Linked DNA regions of Coturnix japonica. The protein of the gene in region 1 binds, or shares a complex with, the protein of each later gene. Links are inferred from orthologs where the notes say so. Each region holds a gene or a part of one and is shown on either strand. Other genes may lie near its edges.

Region 1 (3,817 bases):
AGATAATAGGGATACACACCTTTGTCTTCAGAGATGTTTACAGATTTTTGAAGTTTCCAGTGCTTACTATTACTTGAAACCTGTACTACGTGAAATTCTTTAACACCAGTCTCACTCTAAGAAGGAAATAAAAAAAAAAAAAGTCAGATAAGAGCAGTCATAGTTGTCAAGTTCTTCATTGCAAAGTAAGCATTTGTCACAAACAGGCATGGCAAGAAAATCCATTTAACTCCTCATTTCAAACCATGTGCAATATAATACAGAGGAGAGATAAGGGGGGATCAAAGACCCACTATGACGTAGAACAATCCAAGAAATTTAATTCTAGTGAATAAAACTACACAAAGAAAGAAAATCCCAAAGAAAAATTCCCCCAAGGTGGCATTTTAGATACAAAAAACCTCCAACAGAAACCACTGCCTGAAAGGGCATTTAGTTTCTAAGATTACTTCAGCCTTCTTGCAAGATCCTAAAACCCAGGAGTTCAGGATTTTTATTACATATATACACATATGAGGATAAACAACATTCAGGGTTGTTTTTCTTTCATGGAAAGGAGGAGTCAACAGCAGAAAATTAAGTTCCACAGTGCGATCTGCAAATTAGACAAATGCACATTCTTCCTCCTCACCTTAGTAGCTGAATTAAAAACAGCATACACAACACAAAATGACAAATCAGCTCCATGATTCTACCACCGTTTACACATTCAGGAATTCTAATAAGCAGGACATTTGATTACCTTGCTTTATGGTTGAAAAATCGAAACAAACTTTAACTAAAAAACGTTGAGTACACTTGAGTTAGCATGGTAAGAAAAACTAAAACACTGTTATCTGCTCTGCTAAGTCAACAGACAACAACAGATATGTCTGCGCTTCCATTATACCTGCAAAAATTTGTTCAGGAGTTCTACTAAATACAAACACAGAATGTTCCCTCAGATGTCACTAATTCTACTGAGGGTGTGGCACACAGGGCAGCAATACAGACTGTCTCATTCAGGTCTATTTTCAAAGTCATGAACGTCAAAAACATCCATGACTTTGGAATAATCTTCCAAAAGGTACTGAAAGAAAAAGGCTTGAGATCACATACATTTAGGGGTAGAGACAGTTATACAGCAGATTCCCAGAGTGCTCTGATACATAGCTTTACTGTTGGAAAGAACGCACTAACATTAACTGGAATGATTAAGTATGAAAGGCTTACTTAATATTTCCAGTCAAAGCAATAGTTCAAAAAAAGCTTTAAACATTGGTTCCACTGGAGACATTTACACATACACTGAACTTAAGAACACTATCACTATTAAAATTAAGAACTTACAGTATTGATATTTTCTACATCCACAAACACCAACATGTTATCCCCTCTGCCTTCTTCATCTTCAAGTGCATTACTTCTGCAGACAGTAGCTCGAATATGCAGAGACCGGCTAGTACAAATAACTGCAGTGTGCCTTAGTACTCTATGACTAGGAAACAGGAAAGAGAGGAGAAAGACATTCTGAAGAACCAAGACTGATGTCCAGAGCACCTCATCAAGTCCACCTTTCACATTTCTCATTAATATTAACATTGTTAGACAATTTATTTCCTCAATCATCAAGACGACATTCTTCTATTACACACCTCAAGCACCATCATCCTGAAACTGTATTCTATGACATTCCCCATCCTGACCCACAGTTGCATTCCTTCTAGTCCGTGCTGCTACTTAATGCAGGCTAAGGAACATTTCTCCCAACAAACAAATCTAACATTCATCTCTGTAGCAGAATTACCCCCAGAAAAATATATAATTACATTTATTAAGTCTGCAACGTGTTTTCTTAGAAGGCTGAAAACTAAATAAAGCCTGTTTAAACTTCAGCTGTAGCTTTGAACCATAACAACTGTAAGGTAGTCTTGTAAGAACAGTATAGAAGGGTTAAGAAGGGAGGAAGAGACTCTTCGTTTCTTAATTTATCTGTTTGCTAAAACTATGCTATGGCCTCTTTGGTCTTCACTTTTCAGACCAATTAACTATTTATTCCAGAATCTTTGGAGAACTAGTTCCTCAGAAAAGTTCTCCTGAGCCTTTATAGCCTGGGACAAGGGCGGAACTAGAATAAGTGAACTTCAATACATTGAAAATGCTGTTAGCTTGTGATATCAAACTCAAATGCCCATTGTCCCAAGAGTATTCCATAAAGGAGCCATAAAACAGAGTGTAAATCAAACTTCACGTATAACTCCACATAGAAATCAGATAACACTGTATAAATATTATTTTAAAATTACAGACAAGCCACTTGAACATCTCAGTAAGTTTAAAGCTCAAGTTTATGTGCTTATTAACAGCTCAATGAGAAGGACGAGAAAGAAAAGTACAAAACTTACCACATCTTTGAGTGTCTTTTAATACTTTCATAGTAAAATAAGAAGTTTATTTCATGAACTCCTTCTTCATCTGGTCCCCGTAACCACATTGGCAACTGCACTGATGCCCCAGGAAGAAGAATCGAATCAGGAAGTGGGACATGTATTACCTCAGGCTGACCTCCCGTGCCAACCCCAAAGTCTACAGAAGAAGCTGAAGATAGTAGTGCTGTACGCACAGAGGTAGGATCTGTCACAACAGTCTTGTAAGCACTACAGTTCTCAGAAGCTGAAGGACTTAGTGGCGTTAGAACAGCAGTATTTGCACCAAAAGTAAAAAATTCCGGATGCTTGGACACAACTTTCAGCGCTGTAAGAGGACACTTGCTTACATTCACAAACTCTACATACGCTTTTCTGATTTCTCCACAGAGAAGTCCTGTAGGAAAGTTTATAAAGAACACCTGTATTGGAGAGAACAGGAGGAAAAGATTCTGAGCAACGAACCAAATTACAAACAGGCATTAAAAAAAACAACTAAAACACTTATAGTTTAAGTGCTGTCATTAACCAGGTAGATCACTTTAAGAAAAATCACAGTTTTAATTAACCAACTTGAAGTATTCTGGACTTACAGCAAACAAACAAAAATAACATATTTGCCCCTTGCATATATCCAGTAGTAATTTGGCTATAAAAGTCACAAACTAAACATTCTAAAGGGACAACTTCAGAACAACAACGATTGGAAGGCTTCAAGTTTCTCTTGGGAAACAAAACACAGACTTGGAACTAACAGGTCATAAATTAGCATGAAAAACTTAAATGTTAACATGGTTTATGAATTTGTTGTTTGAAACACTGTAGCTCTAGATTCAGCCATTTGTTCAAACCTGTGAATAGAAAAATTACTGCGTACCTCCAATAAAGGCATTTCTTCTGTAATAATGGGATCTAAACGTCGGTCAGGTCCATACTTAATAGATGTTTTCTCTTCTTTTGTGTTATTCAGTCGAGGCCCTTGGATTTCTAAGTCTTGTCGTCCTCGTACAGATAACCCATTGGAGACAAATTTCCCTGAAAGAATTTTTATAAGCCTTTTTTTTTTTTTTAATACCTCAAGTAACTTTTTCTAAAAAGTGATCAAAATTTCCTTTTTTTTTGTCACTGTGGGCTGATTAAGCATCATTACTAACAAAGAACTACAGTGACACAGCATGCATTATTACTGCAAGTTAAGAGCGCCAAATACATGTTGTAAACTAACTCTGCCCTCTATAATTGCTTACAATCCCAGCAGCTTAGAAAATAGGAACACCAGATTGAGTGGGAAAATTGCTGAGTGAATGCGATTAATTAATTTAATTTTCTAATTTCCAAGCTAGAAAAAAAATAGCATCAACCATTTCCTTTCAAAAACAGACCACCATTCTTCAAATGATTTTTATTCCAGA
Region 2 (3,917 bases), on another chromosome or scaffold:
ACTCTCAAACATATCCAGGGACAGTGACTCAACCACCTCCCTGAGGAGCCTATTCCAGTGTTTAACTACCCTTTCTGTAAAGAAGCGTTTCCTAAACAGGTTCATAAGGTAGAGTAGGACAGTCCAGGAGGAAGCTCAGTCCTTATATCCAAAATCACAGAACCATAGTAGTTGTAAGGGTCTTCCGAAGCCCACCTAGCCCAATCCCCTGCTGAAGCAGGTTCCCTACAGTGGGTCATACAGGCAGACATCCAGGCAGGTCCTGAATATCTCCAGAGAAAGAAACTGCACCACTTTTCACAGAATCACACACAGAATCACAGAATGACCCGGGTTGGAAGGGACCTCAAGGATCATGTAGTTCCAACCCCCCTGCCTGGCAGGGCCACCAAACATACACATTTACTAGATCAGGTTGCCCAGGGCCCTGTCCAACCTGGACTTGAACATTTCCAAGGACGGGGCATCCACAACCTCCCTGGGCAGCCTGTTCCAGGGCCTAACCACTCTCCTAGTGAAGAACTTCCCCCTAACATCCAACCTAAATCTACCCTCTTTTAACTTAAAACCATTTCCCCATATCCTGCCATTGTCAGCCCTTTCGAAGAGTTTACTCCCCTCCTGGGAGTAAGTTCCCTTCAGGTATTGAAAGGCTGCAATGAGGTCACCCCGCAACCTTCTCTTCTCCAGGCTGAACAAACCCGACTCCCTCAGCCTGTCCTCATAGGGGAGGTGCTCCAGCCCCCTGATCATCTTTGTGGCCCTCCTCTGGACCCTTTCCAAGGGTATATAGGGATATAACCAAGTACAGTTCACAACTTCTTGTTAAGTTCCATGTTCTACCCTCAGAATAGGAATGGGGCGGGGGGAGAACCTGAAAAGGAAGAAACAGCTTGAAGAACCTACTGGAGACTACTGGCATCTCATCCACACAGCACAAAAAAAGAGAAGGCTGCTAGAGAAGCACACAAGAAGCTGACAAGGAAGCAGAAGCCCAGGGCACGCCGGAGACACAGCCGAGCATCGCAGCAAAGGGACACGGCAAAGGAGCAGCCCCAGCGGGGCCTCTCAGCTCACCGAGGGCCTCAAGGAGCGGCACAACGGCTCCTACGGCTGCTGAAAGCTGAACCGACCCTCTTCCATCCGCACCCACCTGGAACTCCAGCCCGTAGATGACCGGCGCGTCGTCCTCCATGCCGACACACACCGCCTGCCTCTCCCCTCTGCTCCTTTCTGACCCTCGGCGCTGCCCGTCGGCCGCTTTACGGAGCGGACCCGGCGCAGCCGCAATACCGCCCTCCTCGGCCGGCGGAGCAGGCGCAGTGGGGAAGAGCAGCGGGGGCGGCGGGCCGAGCGGTGAGGTGAGTAGGGGTGGACGGGATCCGATGAGACGGCAGTGGGGCACGGGCCTGCAGGAGGGCGCAGAGGAGGATGAGGAGAGTAGGTGCCCGGGGTGCTGCGCCCACCTTGAAGCTCCGGGGGGACCCTGCGGAGGCCCCGAACCTGGACGGCCTCGGTCTGTGCGGGAGGGGCCGAAGCAGCGCCAGTGTCAGTGTTAGTGTCAGTGTCAGCCGTGCTTCCCTTCCTGCCTAGGCCGGATCAGTCCTTGCAGGCACAAAAGCCGCTGTCTTGCTGCGTGTGCTTAGGTGGATGTATCTGCCAGCGAATCCCAGCGCTTGGGGTTTGCTCGGAACGCTGTGGGCTGAAGAGAGACGTTTTGTGATTTCATTCCTTGGGCAGATATTGGAGGAAAAATGTCAAACGGTGACATGTCTGTGTTTTTAGTGTAAAAGTTACAGTTTTTGTTTGGTATGTGGTTATTTGGAGTGGCCAAACTAATTTCTGCGTATCCTTTCTCCCTTCAGTGCCATGGAGAATAGTACAGGCAGTGCTAAGGATGCTCAGAGCACCTTGGATGAAGAGGACGGAGGAAATGCAACTCAGCAGAAAACTCGGGAAGAAATCCTTTTTCATGAGGAAACCATTGATCTTGGTGGTGATGAGTCTGAAGGGAATGAAACTGTATCAGAAGATTCTAATAACTTTATAGATAAGCTTAATGAACAAATGATGGAGAGTGTCATTATTTCAGACTCTCCAAACAACAGTGAAGATGACACCGGTGAACTCGGTTGCCTGCAGGAGATTGTAGAGCAAATGGAAGCTAAGGATAACCAAAATACTCAAGCAGAAGTGGGCAAAGAAGAGCTTTTAAGTAATGAGAGTGAAACTGAACATGAAGAGACACCCAAAGACATCTCTGAGATTGGAACTGATGATCAGGCATCTTTAAAGGAGGAATCAATTCAGGAAACAGAGAAAGATGAACCAAAGTTGGGAAACAACATTCCCGTTGAAACAAAGCCAAATGGTATTGAGGAAAGTAAACTCGATGACCAGACATCATCGCCCAGAACTAGCAAACCATCTGCTGAGGTTGAGCCTATCCCTGTGTGTACTATTTTCAGCCAAGCAAACAATGCTAATGCTCAGCCACAGCTGTTCCTGCCTGATGGCTTCGAGCCTCAGATGGTGAAATCTCCCAGTTTCAGTAGTATCATTGAGACTCCAGTGAAGTCTAATCCACAGGTGGTTCAGCCCAGTCCTAGTCTAAGCAAGTTCTTTGGTGATACTGTTAACACTAATACTTTAGCTTCAGATTTTTTTGATTCATTTACTACGTCCAATTTTATTTCTGTCAGTAATCCCAACGCAAGCTCTTCAGTTCCAGAACAGATGTCCTCTTTGTCAAATGGTGGAGAAGGTTCCTGTGCTCAGCCCAACCCTACTTTCTCTGTGGGAAATGGGAGACCTGGAGCAAGTGGTCCTCAAGCATCACTAGAAACAACACAGTCCCCCAAGCCATTCTCACAAATCCAGGCTGTATTTGCTGGGAGTGATGACCCATTTGCCACAGCCTTAAATATGAGTGAACTAGACAGAAGAAACGATGCATGGCTTCCCAGTGAGGAAACCAGAAACGTTCTGATCTCAGTTGCCACACAACAGTACAGCACTGTATTCATAGACAAAGAGAATCTCACCATGCCTGGATTAAAATTTGATAATATCCAGGTAAGAGTCTGTGGTTGTACTTTGGTTGTTCGTTGTATTTTAGAAATGCTAAATAAGAGCTTTCCAATAACGTGTTTAATGTAGTGCTTTGTTGCCAGCTGCCCTTTTGTACTACTCACATCCTTACTAGAAAATTTAATGACACTGTCTACTAGTACCTGAAAGGGCTAAAACAAAATCTGAGTCAATTTGTTAGCTATATTGGAAACCAGTATTGACAGCCTACATAAAATCCAGAGCTGGATCCAAGTATAAATGCACATGTATGAAAGTGCATAAGTGGAAAGATGACATTACAGTAGGTCAGTGTAGTATATTTCTATGTAAGACCTGATGCAAAATCAGCAAGGGGATCAAGGGGGCTTCCTCCTGCTTTCTTTGTTGTTATTTATAAGCAAACAGGTTAGCGTAGTCCAGTTTTGAGGTTCTCTATGGTTACATGAATTGCATTACATCCAGTTATTGGTTTTCAGTGGCCTGCTGTTCTCTTTCACTGGCCAGACATCCCTTGGTTTGCTGTCATTGTTCTCTATGATTGTAGGGCTTTGGATTGCTTATTTAACTGAAACTATAATTACGAAGTACTCAAAATGCCAACTAAAGCGTTTTGGGAGGCATGTTTTAATGTTAAATCAGTTTCCAATAATTCATTAAAGTTTCAGTATGAATATGCATTTGTAAACTGGAGGAATGACATCTTTTTATAGGGGCAAAGGGGACTAGTTTTAAACTAGTAGAAAGGAGATTTAGATTAGGAAGAAGTGTTTAATTCCATGGTTGGTGAGGCACTGGTGCAGTTGCCCAGAGAAACTGTGGTACCCCATAGAGGCCCTCAAGGCCAA

The links.
Region 2: TRAPPC8 (region 1) and TRAPPC12 share a complex: the UniProt entries of both Homo sapiens proteins name them as parts of the multisubunit TRAPP (transport protein particle) complex. The link is inferred for Coturnix japonica from reciprocal best matches to the Homo sapiens genes TRAPPC8 and TRAPPC12.

Annotation. Positions count from the first base shown.
Region 1 is NC_029517.1:96,035,821-96,039,637, forward strand, and holds part of TRAPPC8 (trafficking protein particle complex subunit 8), read right to left. Parts: intron 3,441-3,817; coding exon 3,283-3,440; intron 2,828-3,282; coding exon 2,385-2,827; intron 1,478-2,384; coding exon 1,330-1,477; intron 117-1,329; coding exon 20-116; intron 1-19. UniProt on the Homo sapiens protein: Plays a role in endoplasmic reticulum to Golgi apparatus trafficking at a very early stage. Maintains together with TBC1D14 the cycling pool of ATG9 required for initiation of autophagy. Involved in collagen secretion.
Region 2 is NC_029518.1:85,458,685-85,462,601, forward strand, and holds the start of TRAPPC12 (trafficking protein particle complex subunit 12), read left to right. Parts: upstream 1-1,278; 5' UTR 1,279-1,361; intron 1,362-1,369; exon of another isoform or gene 1,370-1,440; intron 1,441-1,865; 5' UTR 1,866-1,869; coding exon 1,870-3,075; intron 3,076-3,917. Other genes in the region: EIPR1 (EARP and GARP complex-interacting protein 1), read right to left, coding at 1,154-1,195. UniProt on the Homo sapiens protein: Component of the TRAPP complex, which is involved in endoplasmic reticulum to Golgi apparatus trafficking at a very early stage.